Linked DNA regions of Tamandua tetradactyla. The protein of the gene in region 4 interacts with the protein of the main gene of each other region in a pairwise test. Links are inferred from orthologs where the notes say so. Each region holds a gene or a part of one and is shown on either strand. Other genes may lie near its edges. The genes, in order: DHX32, NUTM1, CDR2 and FAM161A.

Evidence for each region.
Region 1: the proteins of FAM161A (region 4) and DHX32 interact in binary tests that used the Homo sapiens proteins (3 or more experiments, as listed by UniProt). The two-hybrid records come from large-scale screens. The link is inferred for Tamandua tetradactyla from reciprocal best matches to the Homo sapiens genes FAM161A and DHX32.
Region 2: the proteins of FAM161A (region 4) and NUTM1 interact in binary tests that used the Homo sapiens proteins (3 or more experiments, as listed by UniProt). The two-hybrid records come from large-scale screens. The link is inferred for Tamandua tetradactyla from reciprocal best matches to the Homo sapiens genes FAM161A and NUTM1.
Region 3: the proteins of FAM161A (region 4) and CDR2 interact in binary tests that used the Homo sapiens proteins (3 or more experiments, as listed by UniProt). The two-hybrid records come from large-scale screens. The link is inferred for Tamandua tetradactyla from reciprocal best matches to the Homo sapiens genes FAM161A and CDR2.

Annotation. Positions count from the first base shown.
Region 1 is NC_135339.1:88,466,818-88,474,665, reverse strand, and holds the start of DHX32 (putative pre-mRNA-splicing factor ATP-dependent RNA helicase DHX32), read left to right. Parts: upstream 1-4,829; 5' UTR 4,830-5,006; intron 5,007-7,461; coding exon of another isoform or gene 7,462-7,474; exon of another isoform or gene 7,475-7,662; intron 7,663-7,809; exon of another isoform or gene 7,810-7,848. Other genes in the region: FANK1 (fibronectin type 3 and ankyrin repeat domains protein 1), read right to left, coding at 7,462-7,474.
Region 2 is NC_135340.1:45,698,053-45,705,751, forward strand, and holds the start of NUTM1 (NUT family member 1), read right to left. Parts: upstream 3,015-7,699; coding exon 2,997-3,014; intron 2,725-2,996; coding exon 2,662-2,724; intron 1,361-2,661; coding exon 1,285-1,360; intron 1-1,284. Other genes in the region: NOP10 (H/ACA ribonucleoprotein complex subunit 3), read left to right, coding at 3,289-3,342, 3,624-3,764. UniProt on the Homo sapiens protein: Plays a role in the regulation of proliferation. Regulates TERT expression by modulating SP1 binding to TERT promoter binding sites.
Region 3 is NC_135349.1:34,859,498-34,867,085, reverse strand, and holds the start of CDR2 (cerebellar degeneration-related protein 2), read right to left. Parts: upstream 3,021-7,588; 5' UTR 2,913-3,020; coding exon 2,831-2,912; intron 1-2,830.
Region 4 is NC_135343.1:34,621,557-34,628,672, forward strand, and holds the start of FAM161A (protein FAM161A), read right to left. Parts: upstream 3,014-7,116; 5' UTR 2,923-3,013; coding exon 2,734-2,922; intron 1-2,733. UniProt on the Homo sapiens protein: Involved in ciliogenesis.

The DNA.
Region 1 (7,848 bases), on a different chromosome or scaffold from region 4:
GAACAGTTATCTAAACGAACAATGCAGGCGCCTCTGACTGGCATTTACTCTGACAAAGCACTTATTCTTTGGATATAATTGTACAAAGGTACAATGTCAGCTACACAACACGGTCATTCGTGGCCACTTTGTCTCTAAGAGGTGTACTATTTTCCTATTGCTGCTATGACAAATTATGACAAACTGGGTGTCAAAACAACACAAATTCATTATCTTAACAGTTTTGAAAGTCAGAAGTCCAAACTGGGTCTTAACGGGTCACAGGACCCATCGCCTAGAGGCTCTGGGAGAGAACGCAGTCCCCTGCCTTTTTCAACTCTTAGAAGTTCCCCACGCATTTGTTCCTGGCCCAGCATCACTTTGATCTCTGCTTTAGTCATCACATTGCTTTTTCTCCCTCTGCTTCCTTCCTCAAACCACCTTTTCTGATTCTGACCCCCTGCCTCCCTTTTAAGGACTGTATTGATTACATTGGACCTACTTATAATCCAGGATAAACTCCCCATCTTAAAATTCTTAACTTAATCACATCTGAAAACCCTTTTTTCCAGGTAATGTAACACATTCACAGGTTTAGGCGATTAGGACATGGCCATCTTTGAGTTAGCCTAACATAATAGCAAAACACTGGGAACAAACTGAATATCCACCTGTGGGGGACTAGTTAACAAATTATGGTACATTCTTACAATAGAATTCTATGTAACTGTTTAAAAAGCTCGTAATACACTAAACAGAAAGCTCTCCAAAGTACGTTAGGTGAAAAAAGCAAGGCACAGAACAGAGAAAATAAATACAGTACAAGTAATTTTCTTGAATATGAAATGCTTAGACTTTCTCTGAATATACCAGGAACTAATAATGGTAGTTACGTGCAGGGCAGGAACTGGGTAGAGACATTACAAGAATGGGAAGCAGACTTTTCACTATATACTTTAATATTTTTTTTTGAACCCTATAACTATATTATTTACTCAAAAAGTAAAATGGTAAAGCCTAGAAAGAATAAGAAGGAAACAAAATGCAAAGGGATTTATGTGGGGCTGGAACATGGAAGGTTAGGTCTCACAGTAAAAGATACAAAATGGTATCTGATTCCAATGCTGGATAACAAATTACCCTAAAACTGAGTGGTTTAAAACAGCAGCTTATTATCTCTGTTTCTCAGTTTAGGAGTCTGGGAGAGGCTTAGCTGGGTTGTTTTGAATCCAAATCTCTCACACGGTGGCAGCCAAGTTGTTAGCCAACCATCTCAAAACTGTACTGGAGCTAGAGAATCCACTTCCAAGCTCACCAACTGGGTTTCGGCAGGCATCAGTCCTCACTGGCTCTTGGCCAAAGGCCTCCATTTCACATTGTGTAGGCCATTCCATAGGATGCTACTATAAGTTGAATTGCATCCCTCAAAATACATGTTCAAGCCCTCACCCTATGAATATGCCCTTATTTGGACATAAGATCTTTGAAGATTTTATCAGTTAAGATGAGGCCAAACTGGATAAGGGTGGGTCCTTAGTCCAATATGACTGGTGTCCTTACAAGAAAAGGAAATTGAACATAGACAGACAGACAAAAGGAAACACCGTGTGACAACTGAGGCAGAGACTGGAGTCCAAGGATTGCTTGTAAATCACCAGAAGCTAGAAAGAGACAAGGAAAGATTCTCCTCTGCTGATTTTGGACGCCTAGCCTCCAGAACTGAGAGGCAATGAATTTCTGTTGTTTAAGCCACCCAGTCCTTAGTACTTTGTTATGGCAGTCCTAGAAAACTCAGACAGGATGACTGAATATGCTCAAAACATGGCAATATACAGGTGAGCCAACAAAGAGAGAGAGAAAGAGGAAGCCAGCCAAGGCAGAAGCCACATCTTTCATAACCTAATCTCAGAAGTGACATATCATCACTTCTGCCACATGCTCCTGGTCACACAGACCAATTTTGGTGCGATGTGGGAGGGAACTGACCACACAAGAGTGTGAACACCAGGAGGCAGGTGGGGATCACTGGGCATCATTTTGGAGGCTGGCTACACCACAGGATCAAGAGCAGCTGAGGACCAGGAATGGGTGAGTAAGCATGACGGAAGGTAGAAACACCAATGACCACAGTGAGTCTGGAAGGCAGGAGGGAGACTGGCCTAACTGAAACTCTAAGACGGTGCTGTGAAATAGTGAAAATTAAAACGGAGAGTGGGGTTTGGCCCAATTACTGAGGCACTTATTTGCCATTGATCTTACTCTGATTCTTTCATACATGTTAGGGTATCTCCTCTGCTGGGAGGTGATTTCTTAAAGAAGAGGGAAACATTCTTATCCTTTTTTTTTTGGACATGGGCAGGCTCCAGGAAATGAACCCAGGTCTCTGGCACAGCAGGCAAGAAGTCTGCCACTGAGCCACAGTTGCCTGCCCCATTCTTATCCTTTTAATGTCTTTAGGATCTGTAGTGATAACCTGTTCATCATTGCTTTTATTATTAGTCTGTGCCTGATCTCTCTTTTTCTTGATCAGTCTTGCTACAGATCTGTACTAGTTACCTATTGCTGCATAACAAATTACCCAAAACTTAATGCCTTTAAACAACAATCAATATTATCTGTGGTAGGCATAATTCTAGATGGCCCCTTAATCTCCAAGTCCTGGTGTTATACCCTGTATAATCTCCTCCCCTTGAGAGTGGGTGGGATCTGTGACTTTCTTCTCAGCAACAGAATATTGCAAACAGGCTGAGATGTCACTCCCATGACTGAGTTATGATATATATATATCTCCATCATCTTACTTGGAGGCATTAGAGAGATGATTCTCTGTTGAAGGGAGTAGTCATGCTGAGGAAGCCCAACTAAAGTGGTCTCCAGGACACAAGAGCCAGCAAAAAACTGGGGCCCTCAAACTTAAGGATATAAACAAGTTAATTATCCCAACAGCCTGAAGGAGCTTTAAAGCAGATTCCTCCCCAGACAAGCCTCTAGATAAGAACCAGCGATGCCATGATGGCCGCCTCCTGGGATACTGAGCAGAGGTGATAAAGCTGACAGTGGCTCCAACACTTTGTTTAGTTGGTTCATTGAAATCTGGACTCAAAGGTGGCCAAAACTAAATGAATTTGCAATGTCAGTACTTCCGTGGTACACTGTAGAGCAGGAGTTGACAAACTTTTCTGTAAAGGGACAAACAATACGTATTTTAGGCTTTGCAGGACAGACAACCAAAGGTTTGAACAGCTGCTTCATAAGAAAGGCACAATGCATGAAGTACACAATATCAATAGTCAAGGAAATTTAAAAAGTAAAACTGCAATGATATACTTTACATTCATTAGACTAGTAGAATTTAAAAAGAGAATAAGGGAAAACAAAACAAAACAAAACCACCAATATTGGCAGGGATACAGAACAGCTGGAAGTCTCATAGGTTGCTGGTGAAACAACTTAGCAACACCGATATCTACCCAGCAATTCCACTCCTGGGTAAACATGCCACGGAAATGTACACCTACGTATGCCAAAGACACGTACGAGAATATTCAAAGCAGCGTTACTCCTAATATCCCCAAGCAGGAAACAACCCAAAAGAAGAAATAAAATGTGGTCCATCCATACATTATACAGTAACTGTGGAAAATAACAAACTACTGTTACATGTAACTGGATGACTCTCACAAGTATGTCGAAAAGAAGACAGACCCCAAAAAGCACATAAGCTGCCATTTAAATAAGGCTCAAAATTTGATGAAATTAATCCATCAAGATAGAAATCCGACTCGTGGTTCCTTTGATAGTGGTAATAACTGAAAAGGTACAGAAGGAAGACTTCTGGGGTACAAGTAATGTTCTATATTTTCATCTGGATGGTTGCAATATGGGTATGTTTAATTTGTAAATATTCATCAAGCTACACACTTAAGTGTATAGTATGCCTATTATATTTCAATAAAAAATAAATTAAGAATACTGATTGCCCAGGGAGGCATAATACATTAATTTAGCAATGCTATTCAAGCTTGGTATGAATTACTTTACTAGAGGACTACAGTACTTGCACTATCCTGAGTAAGCCAATTAACTTGTTTCTCTCCAGAGATATGATTGGTAAGGGCATTTTGAACATAAAATTCTGTGGCTGATTGTTCCATTCTTTGATTCTCTTGTTCTTGTATGAATAAAGGGATTCATGGGAAAGATGAACCTCTTATCTCTGTCTCAAAGAAACTTCTAATGGGAGAGTTGAACATATAAGCATATATGATTGTAATATGTTAGAATAATAAAAGTATTAGCAAAATGCAGACATGGTCCTGAGAAGGGAGAAATGAACTCTAATTCAGGTTCAAGTGGGTAAACAGGCAGGCCAAGCTTCTAAGAGCCACAGATGGCAGAGAGAGGTCCTAAAGGACAAGGAGGCATTGTCAATGGCGGGGAAGGAGAGCATTCCAGGCAGCCAGGCAAGTGGAAGGGGACACCGACCTGAAAGAGAAAGCAGGGCAAGGGTCCTGACAACCTGGAAGGGGCAGGGGACAGCTAAACAGAACTGGTCTAGAAGAAAGGAACACAAAAGTCCCAATAATTTTGGCAAGAGGGTCCCAAGGATAAAGGTCTCTAGTTTTGCCCCAGGCCTGCCACCCAGCCCAGTGAGCACAGGGCATCCAGCCCAGCTGCATGAGTTGTTTACTTGCTGATGAAGCAGCACCACCTTCTGTAGGTATGAGTCATTCGGGCCTTCCTTGGCGATGATGAGATGCACAGCCCCCCTTTCATCTGGCTAGTTCAGTTCTTGGGTGGGGCTGGGTAGATGCTTCTGAGCAGGCATGTTCTAAAAGTGCTTCTTTCTCCCAGCAAGAGGGAATGAAATCCAAGTTTTCCTGGCATCCACTCAATCTGAGAATAAGGTTGGGGGAAATACAGGCTTCTGGAGAGATATGGCTTCCACCATCAAGGCATTTGGCCCTGCCTGTGTGATTGGTTGCCCATCCTGAGGTCAGGACTGCCCGTGAACTTCAGTATTTAAGGTAAGGATTTTAAAAAACAGCTATTTGATGCACATTGTTTTGAAATTGTTAAAATATTTAAAACTTGATTTATAAAAGCACTTATTTTTTAATGATAGGATTTGAATTATGACCTAATTCACAGAGTTAATATTCTTTAGGGGCTAAGGCTACTTGTGAAAAAATTGTTACACAGACTTTTTAAAAGACTCCCAGGCTTAATTAAGACATTACTCTTACATTCTTCCCAGTTTCCTAGATAATTAATGAACATGTACTGCATGGTAATGGAAAGGTTGTATAGTGTCCTATGATTTGGTTGTCCCTTAGTCCAAAAAATAAGATTACTTGTCTCTTTCCTTAATTTTACTGAATAGATTGAGACTCTTAAAATGGCTCATTTGGGCTAGTAAAGAAAAAAGCTTACCATATATGCAATTGATCTGACACTAGATTTAAATGGACTTTATTCAAAGCATCCTCCAAAGAGAGCCCCTTCTGTTGGAGAATAAGTGGTTTTCCTTTTTAAACACACTGCTACGCTCCTCAGGAAATAAAACTAGAAAAGACATCCAGCTGGTAACAGTGGTGCCATCTGCCCAATAAATGTTTCTCAGGGATTCCTCTGTGTCAGGCTCAAGGGACATAAGGGCCAACAGGACAGACAGGGCCCCTGCCCTCATCTGCCACCCTACAGTCAGACGGAAGAGACAGAGTTAAAAAATAAACAAAAACGTTAAATATTGTGATAACTGCTACGAAGGGAAAACCACAGAGACAGAAAATAACATCAGAGAAGGACACTACTTAGAGAATCTGGGAAGGCATCACCAAAAAGGTGACCTTTAAGCAAAGATGAAAAGGATATAAGGAGTCACATGCCAGAGCAGAAAGAAAAAACATTCCTGGCAGAAGGAAAAGCCTATGTGAAGACCTGTATTTGAGGAACTAAAAGAAGACCAACATGCTGGAAGTAAAAATGTATCCAGGAGCGCACATGGGCTGAGTCTGAAGAAGCAGGTGAAGCATGCTAAGAAGCTTATAGGGTTTTGGGCAGGGAGGTCACATGATTCCATGTTCTGTAAAGGTCCCTCTGGCTCCCAAGGTGGAGCATCGTTGGGAGGCAGGTGGCATGATGCAAAAATTAGTAGAACTACGGTCCTGGTTTAAGCAAGAGAGGATGGTATCTGGACTACCCGCGATTACAGTAGGGAGCGAAAAAAAGGAGGCACATGCGGGGTATATTTTGGAGGTGGAATTAACAAGCCTGCTGGGGGATAGGGTGTGGGTGTGATGGTGAGTCAAAAAGAGGAGTCAAGGATGACTCCAGATTTTAGGTTGGAGTAACTGGGAGGATGGCGAAATCCTGTAAACAGGTTTGGAGAGAAGTCTTCACTTCTCAAGGTGTGTGCCTGTCTCTTAGTCATTGGAGTAATTTGGATCCATTTAGCACTTCTTTTAAACGGTAAACTTTAAAAAGGAAACTGCCACTGGTCTAAAAAGGGATAGGCAGCAATCTGGTTATAAAAGTGGGTACTGAAGCACTATCTTGATGCTGCTTTTGACAGATACAAGTTTCTACTGTCAATGTAATTGCTGAGAGTGATTTGGTGGACTAAGGACAATCTTGGAAGAGGGGCTAAAGCCCCCCAAAGCCACGCCCTGCCGCTGTAACTAAGAAATTAGGGAGGAGATAGTATGTTGAACTTAAGTATTTTCTAAAAAAAAAATAAACAAATGCAATCTGATGTGTTTTCCACGTTAATTTATACATGGGTTATCTTTCAGACACTGTAGCTAATTTAAGAAGAAAATAAGTAAATAAATTAGATCTCCTGCTAGATCCGATAACTCTCAACTGCACACCTCTGCCAAGCATTAAAAACAATAAGTGAAATAGAAAAAGAAAAGAAAATTCTAACATGAAAAGGAAAAAAAAAGGATGTTTGTTTGGCCTACTTCGTAAACCTCTAAGAATGTTTCTCTTCTTTCAATTGCAGACTAATTTAGGGAGAGGAAGGGGGGATCCTAATGAATACAAGACTCAGCAAAAGTGCTGATATTTTAGAAGCAGGATACCTACTTATAATAAATGGACCCAGACTACCAAAGTAAAATTATAGCAACAATGACAGAAATAGTAATTATAAGTTGATTCGTTTGGGGGCAATTTCAGGAAGGAACAAACTCTGGGGGTGTCTGTCCTCCGGTCCACACCACCGAGCTCTCCCGTCTATCCCGCTCCAAGCGGAGACCCACGGACGGCCCTCACCTAACCCGACACACTCCGCGGGATTTAGGCCCCTTTTCTCTCCGAGAGAAAACCGCGAGGGGCAGAGGAGAACCGCATCGCCAGGACAAATGAGTTAAAAGCCCGCGGAGTCGCGCACGGAGCGCCCACGCTTACTACTGGGGGAGGCCGAGGCCCCGGCCCTGGCTCTGGCCCCGCTCCCGACCCCGGCCCCGGCCTCCTTACTCTGGGGCTCCATGGTGTGCTGCTCCCCGGCCCTATACAGGCCGAACCCCGGCTGCTGGTAGCCGCCCCTCAACGCCTCCGCACGGGGCAGGCGTCTTTCTGGTTGCCCTGACAACCCAGGGGGCGGGGGCGGAAAGGCGAGAAGGACGGCGAGAGGGAGGGACCAAACGCCGTGAGGAAACGCGGGCGAGCGTAAGGGCCCGCGCGTCGCCCGGGGCACCGAGCCGGGGTGGCGGCTGTGTCGCCGGGTGCAGACACTGCCCCTCCGGCCTGTCTAGGCGATCGCGTCCTCCCTGGCGGCCCTCGCGCCCCCGACAGGGCCTGTGCCGGGGCCTCGCAGGCGGTGGCCCACAGGCCCCGCCGGCGCCGTGCCTAGGCGTCTGTCGG
Region 2 (7,699 bases), on a different chromosome or scaffold from region 4:
GGAATGACTACAGAAGATTAGATAAGTACCAGGAAATGGGTGAAGGGTGGGAGATGTAGGGAGGTTTCCAGAGCTGCCAGACGTGTTAAAAATTTGGCGCTGCAGACTGCCTTGCAGTCCTTCTGCTTTGAAATCCTAAAACCAGAAATTTAGGAGTCACTCAGAACAAGACTGTGAGCTGGTTGCTTAGAGAAGGATAATTGAAGTCTGGAACACAATTCTTGCTCACGAGTTGCTTGTGTGGATTCTAGTTAAGGGGACTAAGGATAAACAAAAGGTGCTTAATTAATTAGGACGTGTCTCCTAGGACTTTAAATAACAATAATAGAAGATAATCTGCCTAAATTCATACTAATCCCCCCACCCCACCCTGCTCTTATAAAGAGCATTCCTCTGGCAAACTGACAACACTCAGCTTCTACTTCCTGGCCTTGAAGGAGACATGGAATATAAGCAAATTAGTCATCTCAACAGCAGCGCAGAAGGCCACAAGTATGGCCGAAAGTACTGAACAAAATGAAATTGGTCTGAAGGCCTGAGTCCCACAAAACATAAAATCAAAGCTTTCTTCCCAGTTGGAGTTAACCACCACCTCCCTGGGCCCTGATGAATCAAGGAAAACTGCTATACAGAAAGAAAAGCCATCTCTGGGGCTGGAAGTTGCTGTGAAGCTCTGAGCCCTGGCAGTTAGAGTACTTTCCAGCCTAGCTTTCAGGAAAATGTTTCCCTGCAGGCTTGGCAACAGATGAGACACTGAACTGTTTTTTTGACTAAAATCATCCCCCAACCCTATCTTCTCTCCCTCTTCCCTTTATAAGATGAAGAGTGACCTCATCTCAGTTCTCTCAGGGCAAAATGCTAGAGCAGGCACCTAAAGAAAAAGACTTAAGAACTTGGGCCTTCCCCTTGAAACCCTTCTGGGCCCCTCCCACCACATACCTCTGCCCCTGCTGCACAAACACACATTGATGTGGTCCCCCTCCTAGAGAATCCAGTTCCTAATTGCCAGCCTTTCTCTACCTAGCCTACTTCCTCTGAGGTGTCCTAATCTACCCCTAAGGAGCCCTCTTCCTTCCCCAAACTCCAGTCTGAATTGTTCAGTCTCCCTCCCCAGCCTCCCCCAGGTGTGATGCCTTTGGTGGGGTCCACAGGTCTCCTCCCTCTAGGCCAGCCCAAAGAGCTTGCTGTCAGACAAAAGTGTCAAATGGGAATCCCCAAGGGTCTGAGTAGGTGGCAGGAGAGTAGGTGGCAGGAACCCTCCCTATCTGACACCCACTGACTTACCTCCATCTGAAGCTATCCTCTCAGATTTGGGCACCAACTGTGGCTGTCTGGAAGCCTCCAGGACCCAGAGAATAAGCTGGCTTAGAAGGTACCAGGGATCCAAGAAAGGGAAGGTAAAGATCGAATCAAAATAGAACTAGAATCTAGGACTCAAGGCATTCTGCAGTGGGGGAGGGGAGGCTTGGAATAGGGGGTACGGATGAGGGGAATATTCCACGAAGGACTCTGAAAAATAGGCACTAACTGAGTTTGGTAACAAACTAGGGTTTGGCAGCACAATTGGCATGTACCTCTTTAGGGCAATTTGAAAATACTTTCTCAAATTCCCAACACAACAGTTTTACCTCTATTTACTTCAATTCTTCACCAATATATCTAGTTTTGCCTCTTCAGCCCCACCCAGTTCAAGAGTAACTGACTTCCTCTTAATAACAGGTTGTTGGTAGACCCTTGACTTAATTCAATGATGGCTGTATTTTCTAAACGAAGTTCAGACCACATAGTCTGCATACTGAATCAAGGCGACTGAATATTTGAAATTCAGATTGTCTCAGAAGATCCAGGATAGTTGATTGCTATATGCCTATCACTTACTCGCAAAGTTGTCCTGCAGCCCTCAAATGGTCTACTACCATAAGCTTGGCAGTCCACATCAGGCCAGCCTTACCAGTCATCCCTTCTGCCGAAAAGCCCCACCACATAAAAAAACTGCCATGTAGCCTAAAAGTTCTAGACCAGAAAGTTCTTCTTTTTGTTTGTTAAATTATTTTCTTGTTGTTAAATACTTAATTAAAAAAAATAATTTTAATTGAATTGTTTTAAATAAATGGTTCCATGCGAACCTTGAACAACCGTGCTGGCTCAAGATTAAAAAATTCAGCCTCCCAGCTTCTAAGAGACAACTCAGGGTTGTTTCCAGAAAACAGGGAATCAGTAAGATGACATAAAATGAGGACTTCAGGGAAGCCCTTTGTTTATTTACTCCTGGCTAAATAGGTAAATACATTAGCATGGTTCAAAAGTCAAACTGCAAAACAGAATATACAGCAACAAGTTTTCTTCCTGTAACAGAGTTCTTCATCCCAGAGGAAACCAATATTACCTTTTTCTTATGGACCCTTGCCGAGGCATTTTGTGCAAATGCAAGCTATATTCTTTTTTTTTTTTTAAAGCTCTCAGGTTTTTGTGGTTATAAATTAATAATATGTTTCAGTGTTTTTGCATTATAGATATTGCTGCAATAATCATTTTTGTAATGCTATCTTGGTTCTAATTTCATTTGTTTAAGCTACAGCCCCATAAAGAAAATTTCTACGTTCCTTTAAAATTCAAAATGCCACTAGAAGTGTTTCTTTTATGCTATCATTAGTTACTCACCACTATAAGAAAAAGCGCTGAAAATGCGGGAAAGAGACCTGAGTTTGAATCCTGGTTCGACCACTAAAACATACTTCACCAGTTTCATAAAATAACTTCACGCTCTCTCCGCTGTGCAGAATATTGAATACCCATCATGCACTCTTTACCGCCAATAGTTTGAAAAGGGGCGGGGAACCGGATGCAAAAGCGGGGAGGGGGAAAAATTATTTTAAGGTAAAGGGGTACTGAATCCCAGAGTCCTTTTCTCTCCTGGTGTTAGACACCCACCGCCCCTCAAATGGGTGGGCATCGTAAAACAAAGACAGAATTCTATTCATTAATGTTCAACCCACGTTCACTCCCACCCCCATCTAACGCCTAGCAGTGCCTGGCACACAGTGGGTACACTCCACGCATCAAGGCATGTAAGGTTACAACTGCAGGCCCCCAGGCCAAATCCTGCGATAGAGCGCCCCCTTCTGGTCAGCTGAAGAAAATGCCAAAAATGGACTACAATTCCCGTCATGGCTTGAGACAGACTTCCGGCTATACCGGAAGGACGTTGTGAGCACGTGAGGTGGTGGGACAGGCAGAGGCGCAGATAAGCGTGCGGACGGAAGTGGTGTCTCTGCTTGAAGCGTGGTCATGTTTCTCCACTTTTACCTCAATGAGCAGGGAGACCGGGTCTATACGCTGAAGGTGAGGAGAGGATACTGCGAGAAATGGGGGGCAGGGGGCGGCGGCGGGCGGACGAGACCGGCTAGGTTTGGAGATCCAGAAATGCCGGAACCGAGGCGTGTAGACGCAGGGTTGTGCCGCTTCTTGAACAGACCGTCGCGTCTCCTAACCCTTTGCTTGCGCCTTATCGCGTTCCCACCCGCACCCCCTATTCCAGCCTCAGTCAACCTTATGACGCCAGTAATTGAGTTTGCCCCTCACTCCGGTGCTGAGATCGTGTTTTCTCTTCCCTTCTCGAGCAGAAGCTTGACCCAATGGGACAACAGACCTGCTCAGCCCATCCTGCCCGCTTCTCCCCAGACGACAAATACTCGCGACACCGAATCACCATCAAGAAACGCTTCAAGGTGCTCATGACCCAGCAACCGCGCCCTGTCCTCTGAGGGTCCCTCATATTTCATGTCTCTTCGGTCTCCTGCTACCCCTCGGAGTCTTTCTTTAAATAAGCTCTTCAGTCTGTGAATCTTGAAGCCCTGTTTTATTACCACCCTTGGTCTTTGGAATCTAGTCGCATTGCCTTTGATCATGCTTGTGTGAGGCAATCATGTTAGCATCTCCTATAAAGGAAACAAGTTTGAATCTTTTCATTTTGTGAACTACTGTTGGGTTATTAAAGACAGAATGATTTAAAAGAGCTCTCATTTTGTGTGTTGTGGGAGAAAAGAGTTGGTAAACAAAAAAAACGAGGGAGATGAAGGGGGAAATGTCCCAGAGCATGGCAATAAGATCACTTGTAAGAAAAACTCAGTCGCTGCTGTAGCAGCGAGTAGTGATGTGCTGTTGTTGATCGGAGTGCGTCGGGAAAGGGGAAGAAAGGTTGAGAAAGACCTTCACAACTGTCTATATTCACTGAAAAATACCCATGTTGTCATTCCTTGTGCCCCCTAGCAATGACATTTTGACTCAAAATGGAAGAGTTTATTGAAAAAGAATAGCAACCATATTGTAGAGGAAGGCCAGTGGATTGGAAGTCAGGAGATGAAGGTTTTCCCCTATTTGTGCAACTTGAAGAATTTGGTGCTATTTTTCACATCATTTCAACGTTCTCTTCCAGCTCTAAAATTGAGAGGATTTAGTGAGTCTTTCTTTTCAGTATATCTGTAGTGTTTGTCCAAACTTTATGAATAGTAGTGCCCACATGCATATTTTCTCTCTGGAAATATTCCCAGAACTTTAGGTCTCTAATCAATTCTCTTTTTACACAAACCTAATTTTGCATTCTTTCTGGCAGCTACTATGTGGAACTCTTCATGAACTTTAATTTAGGAGATGAGGTGAGGTATGAGAGGTTCAAGAAAGAACTTGAAATCTTTTAGGACCTGAGCTTCTATCATGGAGCAATAATAAATGACTTTCAATCCAATTACTTCATATTAAGAGGGTGCAGAAAAATACTGTATCCAGGCACTCAAGAAATGCTAGGTTGCTTCTTCCTCTCATTGTCAAGTTAATCAACCCCTATTTCTCAGTTGTGTTACTTGGCTTTTGACGTTGGATTTGAATGTGCCTGCTCAGTGCCATTGGTTTAAAAATTGCTTTTTGGAGAACATATTCTAATTCAGCAATCTTTTCCTACTTTGTCAAAATTAGCAGAAGTAACTCAAATCAGCACAAATGTCATTTATAAAGACTACAATGGAAAGGGATAGATAACATTTCGCTTGGCCCATGTTGTCTGACCATCCTAGCAGAAAAGTTGAGGACAGTTGTTGACTGCTGAGAAAGAAGGAAGTCTCTGGACTTGGATCATAATCAACGGAGAAAGATGATTTTTAAATTAATTACTTAAACTTACAAAAATGTTGAAATGAGATAGTTTCCTTTTGAGCAATTAATTTTTTTTTTATTTTAGCCTAGTCACTTTCAAAAAGTTCTTAACATTGGGTAGAAAGGATGTTAAGGAGTTATCCTAACCTATTAAGAGAGTAATGATTGGTGAAATATTTAAAGTTATACGAGTAACAAGAAAAAGGGCCTGATGCTAAAAGTTTCTTTTTCTTAAGAGTGGGTAAATGAACTCTACTGTTATTTTTTAATGTTGACTGCAATGCTGATTTTTTTCTTAAAAAAAAAAAAATAGCATTGTTCCCCATGGAACCTGCAACATAGACTGAAATTAGACCCTGGGCTGGAAATGTTCCTAGTTGAAGTAGAGGAGAAAAGGCAAACTGTTGTGCAGTAATGAGAACTTTTTCCTTCGGTATTAACATCTCCTGGGACATAAACTTATAGAGCTTGATGAGTGCTCAAAGACAAGAGAGGAATCTTAAGAGTTATAGTATATTAGCATTACGTAGGATATATAAGTAAATGTAAGTACACTGTGATAAAAAAAAAATTGGTGATGTAAAATCCAGCATTTCTTAACAAAGGAAAGTCTGTGGGTTTCCAGTGAAAAACAGGCCTGCCTGAGTTAAAAATATCCCTTGGGGAGATGGATTTCTTGCTGTATCTGTAAGAAAGCTAGGAACCTGAATCAAGTACCACAGGCTTTATAAAGGTTCAGGCTTCAGGAGCTGCACATTTTTTCCTCATTTTGTTACCTGGGTCTTTTAAAATGGACTTTGGACTTTGTGTACCACTTGATGAAAAGGGGTTTTCCTGGCTTGGGTCTTTACAGTTCTGAACCAATTTTTAAAGATGCGGTTTAAACAGTTCCACTTGTGAGGAGCAAAGACCCGGGGAAAGCCAAGGGCCAATTTCTGGGACCAGAATGTTAAATGTCTTGATCAAAGGCACAGCAAATAAATTTAGTCAACATTTATTGAACACCTCTTTATGCATTAAATATACACACTAAAAAATAACTCCATCGCCAGTAAATGTAATAGGGAGAGCACTGGGAGTAGAGAGAAAGTATCTCAATGTCTTTTCCAGGTCTAAAATTATTTATCTAAAGTGTTCTTTAATGGAACGTTCAGTCTGACTAGAAAATGGGCCTACTATTTTTCAAAAGACGGAAACAAGAAAAATCATGCAGTATCCAGTGCGTCTAAAATTGCTGCCTCTACGCTTTAGGATAGAATTCTACATAAAATTCCCATAAGGGTCATACGTAAATATTTGGAATGGGGGGATTGTTATAATTCTTACAGAGATTATGAATGGTATTTTCAGAAACACTCTTATTAAAGAGAGATGGCCCTTGAGGTCTCCTCTTTGAAATGTCTTCCAAGTACTGCAACCCCGGTCCTACCCCGCGAGGCTTCCGCCCCTACATCCGACTGCCAATTTCCGCGATACCCCAGGACCCTCAAACGCTCGGTCCTACTCCCCGCCCCCTCCGCCCACCCGGCTCGCCTGGGCCCAGGGTGGGCGCATGCGCGCAGTCCTCCGTCACCTCGCGGGCCGCAGAGGCTGGGCGGGGCTCCCGGGCGCGCGCAGGACGGTGCCGCCCTCCGACCCTTCCCCCAGGTTTTTTTTCCGGACTGTTAACCTCGAATGAGGAACGAGTCGGGCGGGAAAGGAGGGGCTCCGGCGGCAAGGCTGCAGACCGCCGGGCCGGGCGCTGGGGGTGGCGAGGTCACGTAACGGCTGCTTTGGCGTCTGACTGGGGAGGGGGCACCCTCCCCTGCTGCCGGAGCCCTCCCACGCGCGCCGCGGCTCGGAAACAGTTACCGGCTAGTAAACAACAGCTGCGCGCGCACCAGCATCAGCTGGCGCGGGGATCGGCACCTGCGACCTCCTACTCCCCTACGCCGGATCGCCCCCTCCTTCTCATCCGGTGGCAGCCTGCGTGGCAGTCTCCTCTTCTGCTAGAACCTGAAGGACGGCGAGGGGCTGACCTGCGCTGGGGTCCTGATAGGGGAGGAAGCATCTCCTGTCACACGCAAGACACATCATCAGTAAGCAGACCGTGAGCTCGATGGACTGACAACGACCTGCCAAGACCCCGAGCTGCAGTCCGAGGTGTCTTGATCCGCTAGCCTTTTCCTCCCAGATCCCAGGGACCTTTACTGCCGGGAGAAGAGCGGGCTCGCCACCCCCGCAGACATCTCGGCGGCAGAATTCCGATCTGCCTTGCACCCTCTGCTGCTCACCCTTCTCTTTCTTCTCCATCCAGTAGTGGGATATTTTTCCCGTTATGCATGCGCACCTCTCCCACCAGGCCCAAGTGGATTATTGGCCTCAAAAACATCGGGTGGCTCTTCACACACCTCCTCCCAGCCAAACCTGTGGGGTATTCACCTGATGCACAACAGGTGGCCAGGTGTACACTTTTTTTGCAATCTGATCCATACTGTATTCGCCTGATAGGGTGGGCCTGCACGCACTTTGCTCAACTAGAACTGCGGGACACTCACCAGATAAAGGATCA
Region 3 (7,588 bases), on a different chromosome or scaffold from region 4:
AAGAAAATCCAGCCTCTGAAGTCTTTCCACCTTGTTTGCAGGGACACATTTCAAAGCATGTACCATCATTACCTGCACAGAAAGCTCCTGCTGTCCCAGAAAGGACCTTACGCATAGAGATTATTGTCAGTATTCTTACTGTGCCAACTCAGGCCTCTGACAAAAGATAGTCTTCATCAAAGTGTTTTCTAAAAGCAAAGGTTTTCTCCTCCTGCCTACACACAGCTTCACGTTTCTAACAGGAATTTTTCAGCAATTTTAATTTTGAAATGACTGCCCCAACAAACTTCGATGCAGACTCAATCTACTTAAAAAATGGCTTATATCGTTAAAAGAAAAAAAGTATTTTGTAGTTCTAAGACATTTTGAACAGGATCTTAGAAAGCTGTTTGACTCACTGCTCTCCAAACAGCCTAGTATAGCAAAACTGATAGTGAGGATATTTTAAAAATCATACAGCTGTTGACACAGGATAAATCCCCACTACACCTGCTTAATCAACTTGCTTAAAGGACAGACCTGTTTACAGACTTCATTCAGCAGAAAGTATCTATAAAGAGCTACTGTAGGCCAGGTGCCATAGTGGGAACATTCCATGATGCTGGTGGTATTTCCACCGCATGGGCCAGAATCGAACCTACTTCTCTCACAGGGTGGGCAAGAATTCTACTACTGAACTACCTGTGCACTCAACTGAGTTTGAATGTCATCTATCATAACCTGTCTTCAGCTGTGGCCCCAGTGCCCACATAACTACCTGGTACAGAGTAGATAATAAATATCTGTGAAACGAACAAATTTTAAAATGCTTTACAAGTTTAGAAGTTAGTTAACATATAATTTTAAAAAATCGGGGCAAAGATAACCTTTTATGCATCCTGCAGCTGTGTTTTATAGGTCATTTTCCCAAGTTATGATTGTTGGAATTTCCTATCTTCTATTCCTACTCCTCACACTTTACTGAGTTATGTCAAAATCCATTTTGATAATAAATGTAAGAACCCTTTGAAAAGAACAGAAGAACCCCCAAATACAAACTGGCATCAAACAGGTTCAAAACAGTGTCCTTTAAGGTTCTGTTTAAACCTGAAGATCTGACAGCTCTGGTTTGATCAAAGCAGTTAGAAAACTCTAACGGTAACCCTATCAGGCTGCATTTGCTTCTCAGTAGATTGAAAAATTACAATGGGTTATTTTTAACAACCGCAGGGGGGAAAGTGCAGTGCGATTTAGGCCCCTGATGGAAGAAAGCCATGAAACCAGTAATCCTGTGGGAGTGCTTCAGTTTGGTTCAAGAAACATTAATCGAGCTTCTATTATGTGCTGTGTGTTGTAGTAGATGCTGGGGATTCAAAAAAATGAGGGCCATCTGGTCCCTGCCCTTAATGCCCTTGCGGATTTATGCATCTTATATACTAGAAAGAAAAACATTCTGCGTTGATTATACGAACTCCTTAATATATTCAAAGGAAATGGTGCAATTGCACAATGGTTGCAATTAACCCTGGAGAAAGAATCAAACTAGGCCATCAATTCTTATGGGAAAATCAGAAAACAGGTTTGTTAAAACTTAAGACAAATGTGTCTTGTGGACATAGAGAACGTGAGCGCAAATACTGGTATGTACAGCTCCCAGCATAATGATTTTAGAAATCACCTTCCCAAAGCAGGCACACATTTTATTTCCTTCTCCTAAGTTGAGTTACTCAAGTTTACGTTCCCTGTGGTCTCCCCTACCGAGTTCATCGCTCAGCATGTACAGATATCACGATCATTTAATGTTCAACTAAATGAGATGTTTCATTTTCACTGCAAGTTTGGAGCTGAAAAAAATGGATTTATACAGATTCGCAGAAACAGAAGCCTGAAAAAAAATTCCTGAGGATTATTTAGCGCTCAGTATCATGCGCTTGCTCTGGAGATTGAATTGGAATCCTAGCACCCCAAAACAGTCGCCTCCACCTCCAAAGTGCTGTTGTGAGGATTAAATGAGCATCTGTGTTAAGGACCTGCCAGCGTCTGGCACATACTCAAGTATCCCTATTGCTAGCTCCAGTTGGCAATATGCCAAAAAAGGACCACTGGCTTCAAAGTGAAGGCCACTCGAAGGTCCTTCTCTGGAAGGACGGTCAGCAAGAACTCTACAGGCAGGCCAAGCCAGGAAGGCAGGCTTTTAACCGAAAGGTGGAAGTGCAAATTGACGGAGGAGGGTGAGGCAGAAGTGCCCTCCAGTCAGTTCATCCGGCATCTGGTGGACTGTGCATTAACAATTTAAAACAAAAGAAAATGGGTTAACACCCAATAGAAAAAAACCCGTAAACCGGGTGGATAAGGAACGGACAAGGGTTTGGGCAGTGACTGGCTGGCTCCTCGTTCTGGGAGTCTACGGACTACAGTCTTTCCTCTCCGGGAAAATGGGGATGACCAAAGTTCCTCCCGGTGGGTGGGTGCAGATAAGAGGAGGGCAGGTTCGTTAGGGGCCTGCGCCCTTCCCACCGCGCAGGGATGCTACTGGCACCCACAGGGCTCCGCTCCAGCCGCCGCGAGCCCCGTTACAGCCCAGGGGCGCCGTGTGCGCAGGAGCCGTCACGGGGCGGCCACTCACTGTGGCTTAAAGGGTGAATAACCTAAGCGTCTTAAAGCGCTGAGAGCAGCGCCCCGCACACAGTTAGCCCTCGACAACGTTCTCCAGGCGCGTTATTATTCCTGCGCCGACACCCGGGGCGGGCACGGCAGCGCCTGCAAAGGGCGGCGGCCCGGGGCGAGAGCAACTTTTTCAACACAGTTCAGCAGCCCAGAGCCTCCCCGCTGCCGTGTCCCCCGCCCTCACCTTGCTGGAGGTCCTGGTGATCGTACCATGGCTCGTCCTCCTTCAGCTCGAACTCCTCCTCCACCAGGTTTTCCGCCAGCATCTCGGCCGGGCCCTCCGGGGGCAGCGGCCCCAACCGCCGCTGTCCCGCCTCAGCCGCTGCCCCGGGCTCGCTCCCGGCCCCGCCGCCCTCAGCCAGAGCCGTCCCGGGGCGGGACCCGCCCGCCGTCCGCCGCCCAGGCTCAGCGAGAGCCGCCCGTCGCCCGGCTTCCTGGCCAGCCTCGCGCCGCCCAAAGGTTCCAACGGCCGGCGCCTCGGCCGGCGTCTCAAGCCGGCTCGCGACGCCGCCGCCGGGCCCAACGTGGCACTTTGGCAGAACCCTCCCCGACCGGGACTGTGATTCAAACCCGGGCGGCGTCTTGGCCAATCGCGAGCGAGCCGCCGGCCGAACGGCGGCGATATCGTCCAATCGCGTCTCGCCGGTTGCCCGCGCCTCGCCCGGTCTCGAGAGCGGCAGCCAATGGCGTCTTCGGGAGAAACAAAGAAGGCGGGCAGATGAACGAAGGGGTGCGGCTGAGAGACCTCGCCCCCCGCTCAGCTCCGGGGCAATTTTCTGGGTGTGCGTTCGGGGTCCTGGGTTGTCTAGGCGGCCTGCGGTGGGTGGACCGGCTACCCGCCCATCAGTCAGTCAGTGGACGCGACGGCCGGAGGGTGGCCGGGCAGGCTTCGTGGACGTGAGGGGCAAGAACTCCGGCCTCTGAGGAGTGGAGGTGGTCGTGGGGCCTCCTTAGTGCGGTCGGGAGGCGCGAGGGGTGCCGGGAGCCCGCGTTTCCCTGCCTGGCCGCCGGTTGTCTGTCGACTCCTGGGTTTGCTCTCGTCGCGGCGGGAAAACTAAGGGTCTGCCGAGAGTTTGGGGCTGAGGAAGACACCCTCTGACTGTTAGCTTCTTCTCCTTGACGTCTGTTCTTATTCCCAAACCTCTGGGAATTTTCCTCACGCCCGCCCAAGGGTGTGGGTTTCACACCCATTTAAGAATGGATTATGAGCTTTGATGTAAAAGTCAAGGTACAGCTGCTAGAAGGAGGGGAAGACAGCATTGCTAATATCTGTATGTGACAGGAGGGGACTCCACCGATACTTTCTAACGTTTATGGAACAAAGAGGTTTTACTTTATATGAAGGATTATTCTTGAAAAATTTAAGGGAACAACGATCAGAAATTAGGTGAGAGGGAAGAGAAGGAGTAGTGTTAGCAAATTAAATCCTGAATCCATAGACAATACCTTAAATTGAAAATATAATAAATAGTTTTCAACGATGTGAAGATAACTGCTAAAACTAAAATGGAAAACCGTTCATAGTTTGCCTGAGGGGAGACTTTGCTTTTTATTATAAGTTTCTCTGTGATTTTGTGTGGCACATGCACATGCACACTTGGTGCAAACATTACTGTGATAAAAAATAAAGGAAATTGTAGGGAGGGAGTTACAGATCCTCAAATTACTATTGTTCTGTATAAAGGAATAAAGATGAGTAATTTACAGGAGGGGGGAAAATCCACCCTAAATATTCGTGTAGGTTTTAAAAAATGTAGTGTCCCTTCCCCTCCCCTTTCTTGCTCAAATTGGTGAAATCTCATGCTGATGCTGTAGGGTCTTCACAGCTTGACTCCAGGGTTGCTTTATGAATAGCCTGTAAGCTACTACTCTTGCCAAGGACAAGGAAACTTTCCCAGTTACCAAAAATTTTATCCTTTCATCATTAAAGAAGACTGCTTAATATAAAGTGGAAAGCACAGTGTATTCACAAGACCTGCAGTTGTAGCCTCAGTTCTACCAGCACAAAAGCCTTTAACTTCTTTAGGTTTATAGGAGAGATATCTCTCTACCTTCCTCACAGAATCAAAGAGAGAAAGTATGAGAAAGCATTCATGCCTTTTTTAAACATACGCTGCTGTTACTGATATTTTGGGGACAACTATGAGCATCAAAATAATATTATTAATGGATTATAACCAAATGAATAAAAGGAAAAATCTATGAATCCATACTGATATAAATGAATGAGTGAATGAATGAGCAAAGGCTCCCCACCCAGTATCCACAGAGGACAATACTATGATTTCTTGATTTTCAGAAAAGAGAGTTTTATTGTGAGGTTGATTGGCCAGGAGGCAAGGCTCAAATCTGTCTCCTTGATCTGAGAGTTAAGGGACATTTTGTGGGAATGGGGGGTGAAAAGTATAGACAGAAGTGGAGAGGTTTGACTTGGCCCAGTGCAATTGGTTAATCATAGAGTTGTCCATGTGTGGTAGAGTGGATTTTAGGCTCCATTTGGCATTTGATTTGCTTTCAATGTCTCCTTGTTCTTGTAATCTTGGTTCCAAGGGAGGTGGCATTTGTTCCTGGTGTCTCAAAGTCCATATAAAGGACAAAAATCTGTTTTCTACGCATGCTTAGGTTATATGACCTGCCGTTAAGCAAACTCAAAAGAAAAGGTTACAGGAACAGAGAATATCCCCATGAACCGATTTTTGTTCACGCATGGTTTCACTCTTACTTGTAATGGTGTTAGAAGGTAATAATAATAATAATAATAATAATAGTGATAATAATAATGAAAGGGGAATGAGAAATCATAAATCACTTTCTTTTGAATCCAGGTATACTAAAAGGCAAAATGTTACTGATCTACTTTTGTTTTTCTGATCTACTTTTTATTGCTAGGTTACAAAGAAGAAAAAAGTTAGGACCCTTGTAAAATCTCTACTGTCCTAGCTGTCCATATTCAGGTGCAGATATTAGTCCAGAAAAAGAAAAACAAAAGAAAATCATTTAAACCAACTTTGTTAACTTAAAAATAAATTACTGGGCTGGCCACGGTGGCTCAGCAGGCAGAGGTCTTGTCTGCCGTGCTGGAGACCCGGGTTTGATGCCTGATGCCTGCCCATGCAAAATAAATAAATAAATACATAAAATAAAATAAATTACTATAGATAGAGCCCTTTGGAAAGAGGGATGATTGGGTTTAGGATTTGCTGATGGTGTTTTGTGGAAATTGAAGGGCCAGATTCATGCATTTGACCTTCAAGAGACTCATCCATCTTCCATAGTTGTTACCGGACAAAGGCTGTGAATTCTTCTGCCCCCACACTCAATAACCAATTCCTGAGACATTGGGTATTTCAAAGAGAGGAAGAGTTTATTACTAGGCAAGTAGTAGGAGAGCAGATGGCCTAGCGGCCCAAAATCTGTCTCCCCAAACTGCAGTAATTCAGGTAGTTAGAGGAAAGATGGGCAGGGTTTAGGATAATAAGCACAGTGGCCCCAGATGTTGTAGAGGTAATTTAAGTATTGAGCATGTGCAGGTTGATTACATGCTTAGTCACAGAATGTATGTAAGAAAATGGTGGAATGAGGTGTAGGTGACTTGTCGGTTCAAGTGTAAGCTTCTGTGCATGTCAGGTAGGCCAAGCCCACTTTGGTTAGATCCCAGTCTCTCTTAACAAGATAACTTCAGATATGGGGTGTGTTGAGTTCTGGGCTGACTCAAGACCCTTCATTAATAAACATTACCTGCTGTCTTTAATGATTACAAGACTCTAAAGTTGAAAAACTGTTAAACTGGGTACAAAAGAAGGTTAGTCATGAGGTTTTTACAATAACAAGGGCAGAAGATAAGGGCTATACAATCATTAGCAGAGATCAAAGCAGCTGAATTACAATTTAGAGATTTTAGGAATTTCCCTCTTTCTACTCCAATGTACAAGAAAGCAAAAAAGGAATTTCTATATAGTGATTCAGTAATAAAAATCATCCCTTAAATCCTGATTTCTTGGTTGCATAGTCACCGATTCGCAAGATTGAAAGTGCTGGCTGTTTTTTTTTTTTTATTTAACATACAAACACAAACATTCTTACCATATGATCATGCCATTCATGTTATATAATCAATAACTCACAATATCATCACATAGTTGTATATTCAGCATCATGATAATTTCTTAGAACATTTGCATCAAATCAGAAAAAGAAATAAAAAGAAAATAAAAAAATTCAGGCATACCCTTACCCTTCCTTTTCATTGATCACTAGCATTTCAATCTACTAAATTTATTTTAACATTTATTCCCCCTATTATTTATTTTTAATATATTTTACTCATCTGTCGATAAGGTAAATAAAAGTATCAGACACAAGGTTTTCACAATCACACAGTCACATTGCGAAAGCTATATCATTATACAATCATCTTCAAAAAGCATGGCTACTGGAACACAGCTCTACATTTTCAGGCAGTTCCCTCCAGCCTCTCCATTACACCTTAACTAAAAAGGTGAGATCTGTATAATGCATAAGGATAACCTCTTGACTCTGTTTGGGATCTCTCAAGTACTGGCTGTTTTTGTGATAGCAAACAGAAGCTCATTTTCTTGATGGCAAATAGAAACTCATTTTGACTCCAAATGGGATAAGTATATTCAAACATTCTTTAACAATTGTCTTTCAAAAAATAAGTTATCTGCAGAATTGAAGTTTTTGATAGTTTAAAATGGCAACAACACAATAAAACAGGCTTTATGCTTTTTGGTGTCAGTGGTTCTTTTTATTTAAGAATTTTTTTTTTTTCCTGGAAAGGCTGGAACACAAATTGTGTTGAAAAGATGTCCTAATTTTCAATTGCTAAAAGCCCTGGTTTGGTGGGGTCTCTGTTATTCTCTTAGGATCTGCTTGGTCATAGCTTGGAAACAATCATAGGCAACCTCTTTAGCAACAGTAT
Region 4 (7,116 bases):
CTTCATCTTTCTTCTGCTTTGGTCCTTACATCCACTCCAACTATAAGTCCTGTCCATTCTAGAGAAATTTGTCCACTTCTCACTATCCCCCTGGACCCAAAGTTCAAGCAACCACCTAACACACTTGAATTACTGCAACAGCCTCCTAACAGGTTTCTTACTTCCACTTCATCAGTCCTCCAATCATTCTCCACAAAGCCATCAGAGTGAATTTTTTAAAACCATAAATAGGAATATGTCATATCTCTTAAAAATCTTCAACAACCTCCCACTGTTCATAGAATAAATCTAAATTTCTTCCCTTAGTATATAAGGCTCTGTGGGACCAGGGCCCCATGTACCTCTCCCCCTCTTTTCCAGACCTGCTGACTTTCTTTCAGATCCTTAATCACACAAAGCTCTTTCTCTTCCCATGTTAGGGCCTTGCCATATGCTGTTCCCTCTGCCTGGGATGTTCTTCCCACCCCCACTCTTCAAATGGCTGCTCTTTCTTATTCATCAACATCACTTTAACGTTACCAACTCATTTAAGTAGGTCCCATCTATTCCTTTCTTAATCATAGTACCCTATTCATTTCTTTCCCAAAATTTCTTGTCTTATAATCGTTTGATTGAAATTTTTATTGTTGTTACTGTTAACTTCCACACTAGACTGGAAGCTCTGTAAGGATGTGGACTATGTCTGCTTCACTCACCACCACACAGTCATTGAATAGCTCTTAATTAATGCTCAATATTTCTTGGAAAACAGAATGTCACCCAATTAGGAAATGCAGTGGAATTTTTAATGCAAACTATAAAATATTGCTTTATTCATGCCATCATCACCCACCTAATAAGGCCTAAAAACTGACACTGTCCCAACCCTCCTCCCTCAGGGAATGAGGTAGTGTCCAACATGGCAAGGGCACGTGGGGATGGTCTGACATTGGCAAAACCAACTGACTGAAAGGGCCTATTGTGGCAGTTAGTTCTTATATCAATCTTATGGGTGGATTCTTTGTCTGAGTTTACTACATTTTATAGATGACAAAGTTGGGCAAATTTATCTTTGAAAATCAAGTTAGAGACTCAAGCCAAGCCGTGATGAAGACAAAGCCTGGCTCCTGTGCTCCACCTCTTATTCCTGTCTTTTTAGTTCTATTCTCCTTTCCCCAGCGTCCTCTGGCTCATCAGGTCCATTGGGGCTGCTTATCCAGATTAGCTACTGGCTCCTCATAGCCAGGTAAATTCATAAGACTTCCATCATTTCTGTTTTCAGGATCCTGCTTTTCCAAAACTAGCCTATTGAGTAAACTCATTTATTCTAAGGTAACAACCATTTCAAATACAAATTGCAGTTTAACAGGACATGTGGGAAGTACAGCTACAAGTATAGGAATGACTGACTCCTCTACCACAGGAAGCCAGACAGAATTTAATCTTTGGGTGAGTTGCTCAAACAACAGTCCCGCTGGCAGTTGCTGTTATTATCAATTTATATAAACCGGTATTTAAATAAGACACACATTCTCTTATTTGGTTCTCATAACAGACAGTGAGATAGAAAGATAGAATTATTATTCTCCTACAGATAAGGAAACAGGCTTAAGGAAGTTAAGTGCTAATGTCATCTAGCAGATGGCAGAGCCTGGATCCTAAACCAAGACCCCAAGTCTTTTTCTTCCATTCAAACCTTTCCCCTCCATAGGTCTGCCTCTTTTGTTGCCCACCGCAACTTGTGTTGAGAGCAAATTTTATCATGAACAAAACTGACCCTAGGAATCTTACTCTTGATTCATGTTCTAGGTCTCAATCTGCCTTACTCTGGATAATCATGAGTAGTTTGTGTCTGTTGCTGAAATACTGACCATAAAAGGTGCTGCTACAATTTTCTCATGAACAGCTGTAACACAGAGTAGAGAGATTAGAATTCCAAAATATCCAGTGATTTCTATTAACCCCATTCCATGCTTTGTATCTGAGAAATTTTGGACATATGGTATTAAGAAAACTTAACCGAGAATAGGGAGCATTATTCCGGCAGGTTGCTAAGTTTAAACTCAAGGTTTCCATCTTTTAAGCAAACAGAACAGATGGCAGACTCTGTCCTCCACCTGGTGGCCAGGTGTCCACACCCATTCGGCAATGAAAATAGATCAGTGAAAAGGCTCTCACTCCACCCTGAAGAGGTGATCAAGAAACACGTAGAACCTCAGTAATTAATTTCTCTATTTTATATATAAACTCGATGTTTTAAACATCTGCCTCTAACTTATTGTGTTAGATCCACTAATAACTAGGACCTTAAGGCGATGATAAGGCATACCTGAAAAGCACAGCTAACTAACTTGAGTTTTTATGGGTTATCAACTATTGGAATAGATCAGTTTTACAAGTTAAAAAAGGAGGGGGGGGGGTTGGAGGTGCGATATCCGATACCAAGACATTCTGAGCGTAAGGAGTAAAGTTCTGTACTTTGAACTTCATAGAAATGGAATGAGGTAAATGCTCTTCAATACATTTTTACAACAATCTTCTCTTTGGTGACTATAAAGACTTTCCAACGCCTCTGTTTTGAGTATCTTCCGTGAGGGGCGGGGGGTGGGGTGGGGGGAGAGGGAACAAAGAAAGGGTGGGAAGGATCTGGGCAGGACACCGCGTTTCCCACCCTGTTCCGCAGTCGGGTGGGGATCCCACCCGCCCCCAGCTTACGCCCGGCCGGCAGCATCCCGGGTCCCGACCCTACGTTACCGACGCCGGCGCCGGCAACACTGTTTTCTCCTCCTCTTCCTCCTCCAACTCCTTCAAGGCCGCCGCCTCTGCCGCTGCCGCCGCTGCCGCCAAGGCCTCCAAGGAGTCCTCGTTTTCGTACAGGGCGGAATCTACCCGGGTTTGGAGAGCAGAGGCCGCTAGCTTCGCTGCTCGGTGCGAGGTGTCCATCACCGCGCCGCCGAGGCCTGAGCGCCCGCGCTGGCCCCGGGCAGCGAAGCTGAAGCGGCCTCGGGCGACCCGCCGGCTCCTTACTTGGGGCGGGCGGTTACTAGGGGCGCGGTAACCAAGGACGCTACGGGCACCTCGAGGGACCAAAAGCCATACAAATTCCTCTCACTTTACCAAAGACGAGGGTCGGGTGTCTCCTGATTAGTGGAAGTCAGAGCTGAGTTCGACTGCTGGTTTGGAATAGACTGGAGGAAAAGGGAACTTTTTCTTCTCCTTCGCATTTCAACGCCTAAACGCAGATTTCTCACATTGTATTAATTAAATAACGCGTTTTATGTAGAAAATACACGTTTTATTCATTGAGATAATACGTTAGTAGAGACAGAAGCGGAGAGGAAAGGAGGAGATATTGTGTGGCGATGGCAGCTTTACATCCCTCTTCCTAACGTGTCCCACTCTTCTTTGATCTGACTGATAAAAGCCTGAGTGAGGAAGAGCCTGCCCTACCCACCAGTGAGTGACAGCCCAGGTAGCGTGAATCTGGCGTTTTTTTGCTTTGTCAGCTGAGTTGGAAGGCGTGAATTCCATGGGGACGGCAGACACAAGCCTTCGCCACCTCATCCCTATGAAGTCCTCCCACTCCGGGTCCGAGGACTTTATGTGGTACCTTCCCCCGGAACCAAGTGGTTATAAGAGACTCCGAGCCTCAAAAAAGTCAGCGAGGCGCAGTCTCAGCCCCGTGCTACCCAGCCCTTCCTACTTCCTGAAGCCGAGGCTGCCGCAATCCCCCTCCCCACTCTATCCTCTTCCCTCGCTGGCCCATTACCAGACCTCACCGCCATAAAGTTACAGAATTTTTCTCCATTGTGCAGCAGAACATCTAGAATCCATTAATAAGGTCTCAGCCCTTTTTATTTTTTTATTTTCCTGGCACTAAGTGATGCCAGGCTTCATAGGAATCCCTCCCTCTGTGCTCTGCCAACCTAGAGATGCTTTGCTGCATCACTTTGAATCTTTTTGCTTAATACACACGTGGAGTATGGCCTGATAGCTTCTTACCAAGCGTTCCTTGTTTGCTGATTGGGAGTGTGAGCACCTGCAAAACCCCCCATGCCCTCACCTTCTTCAGATTTTTGGCTGAGCATTTGCTTGGCACACTGGAACAAATGCTGGCTGAGTTCTAAGCATAAGGAACACCCAAGTCGCTTTCCGTACTTTGTATGGCAAGCCAAAAAAATATTAATCATCCAGTGAAAAGAATAAGGAGAATTTGAACAGTGCAATTAACAATCAGATAATGTATATCTATCAGATGATACATAACTAGCATACATGTATATTTAACACAGTTCGAGAATATCCATTCCTTTAAGCATACACGGAACATTTATGAAAGTACCCATGGTATTAAGTCATAAAACTAACTCAGTAGGTTTCAAAGGATTGACGTCATACAATCAACAAGCTCTGATCACTTAATACAATTAAGTTAGACATTAATAAAAGAATGATAATAAGAAAGACCTTTTCTGTACAGAAACTTAAAAACACTTCTAAAAATAATCCATAGGTTATGAAAGAATTCATAATGGAGATTAGAAAATATATAGAATTGAGTAACAACAAAAACACCGTATGTCAAATGTTTTAGATATGTGTGAAATGGTATAGTCACTTAAGAAAATAGCTGGAAAGTAGTTTCTCAAAAAGTTAAACATAGAATCACTATATGACTCACTCGTAGGCATATATGTAAGAGAATTGAAAACATATATCTATGGCCCTTTGCCACATGGCCTGGCATGTGGCAGTGTCTGCCAGTCTCTCCTTTGTCTTCTGGGTTTTGTTGATTTCAGCTTCTTGCCTTTGAGGCTTTCATTCTCTTTGTCTGAATTTCATTCTCTTATGAGGTGGGACACATCTTAACTGAAGTAACCCCTTCAAAGGGTCCTACTTACATGGGTTTACACCCACAGGAATGGATTAGATTTAAGAACATGTTTTGTTGGGGCGCATATAGCTTTAAACCACCACACACTTTATCATCAATACAGTATATACAAGTACAGGATACATGATCAGTGTACAATAAAGAGAGTGGTCAGAAAATTTTAATGAATGAATAATAGAGCATATCTGACATTTGCCCTTTACTAGCAAGTTCTCTCTGAATAAGTAGAAGAAATCTGAGGGGGGAATATTTAAAATCTTAATGAATAAGATTTTACAACTCTATGAAAATGTATTTACAAATTAAATCCTAGTATTGAATAAATTAATATTCAGTAAAATTTCTAACATACTATAATATCTCCTAATTATTTGTATGTTGTACTGGCTCAAAATTTGTTAGTAAGCACATACTACCAAGTACAAAGCTTTCTGCCTTTTTTACTTTATTATTACCTTATCTTAAAAAGAATTTACTAAAAACCCAGTATAGGATCACAGAATCCTTGATGACCTTAAAGATCATCTAATAATGATAATGATAATTGCTAGTGGTAATTCTGCCAGCTAGTATTCTAATTGTTTTGCTTATATAAACTCATTCCTTCCCTATAACAATCCTATGAGAGTAACTAAGCTATGGTTATTCTTTTACAGAGGAAGAGATTGTGTCACGGAGAGTTAAAGAGCTTACCCAAAGTGGGAAGTTGCAGAGCTGTGACTGGCACCCAGGCAGTCTGACCCCTAGTCCATCCTTTCCACACCACCTTCTCTCTTGGACTGTGCTGTCTTTCCTGGGATATCTCAGGGGATGGGGAGATCATGACTTCAAAAAACCCTGTCCTATTGTTGGACACCTCTATTTGCTTCCTTGTGATGTACCAAACTTCTTCCTCCTGTATATTTCTTACATTCGTCCTGGCTTGGTCATCTAGACTAGGGGCTTCAACCCAGATTCTTTCAGGTTTAGTCTGGGTATAAAGAAATGGTGATTTCAGGATTTTTCAAAAACTTGTCATTTGATGATATTTGTTCCAGTTTCTGGTTTGCTTTAGATCGCTACTAGCTAGCTTAATTTCTTCTTCCATATAATAACCCTTCATATGATAGAATGCAATATGATGTGTCCTGCCAACTTTTCTCACTGTATGTTCTTGGACATGCTATTTAACCTCCTTGAGACTCAGTTCTGTCATCTGTAATTTAGGGATAATAATACCTACTTATTGGAGTGGTTTTAAAATTAACTTAAAGTCATCATTGCAGGAGGTCATATACTCTCATTGATAAAGATATACCTGATTAAAAGCCAGAACGGCAGGGATCCTTTCTATAAAGCAGTAGAAGAAGTTGCTCAGAATTTGGGTTTGAGGATTGAAAATATCATCTATTCTCATCAAGAAATAGTAACTGTTAGCACTACTAACATCAGTCCTGCACAGCCAAAATTATATGCCATAAATCCTGTGTACGCCAGTTTGAAAGGCTGTATGTACCCTAGAAAAGCCATGTTTTAATTCTAATCCCATTTTGTAAAGGCAGCCATTTCTTCTAATCCCTATTCAATACTGTATATTTGAAACTGTAATTAGATCATCTCCCTGGAGATGTGACTCAATCAAGAGTGGTTGTTAAACTGGATTGGGGGAGATGTGTCTCCACCCATTCGGGTGGGTCTTGATTAGTTTACTGGAATCCTGTAAAAGAGGAAACATTTTGGAGAATGCGAGAGATTCGGACAGAGCAGAGATTGCTGCAGCACCATGAAGCAGAGAGTCCACCAGCCAGCGCTTTGGAAATGAAGAAGGAAAACACCTCCTGGGAGCTTCATGAAACAGGAAGCCAGGAAAGAAAACTAGCAGGTGACGCTGTGCTTGCCATGTGCCCTTCCAGCTGAGAGAGAAGCCCTGTGTTCACCATGTGCCTTCTTACTTGAGAGAGAAACCCTGAACTTCATCGGCCTCCTTGAACCAAGGTATCTTTCCCTGAATGCCTTAGATTGGACATTTCTATAGACTCACTTTAATTGGGACATTTTCTCAGCCTTAGAACTGTAAACTTGAAGCTTATTAAATTCTCCTTTTTAGAAGCCATTCCATTTCTGGTATATTGCATTCTGGCAGCTAGCAAACTGGAACACGATGACGCTGCAAACTAGAACACTGTGACGCTGCATACTGCGGTAGAGATACTATAAAAATTTTACTAGTTCTTATGGATAAAGAAGCAGCCAATGCTCCTATC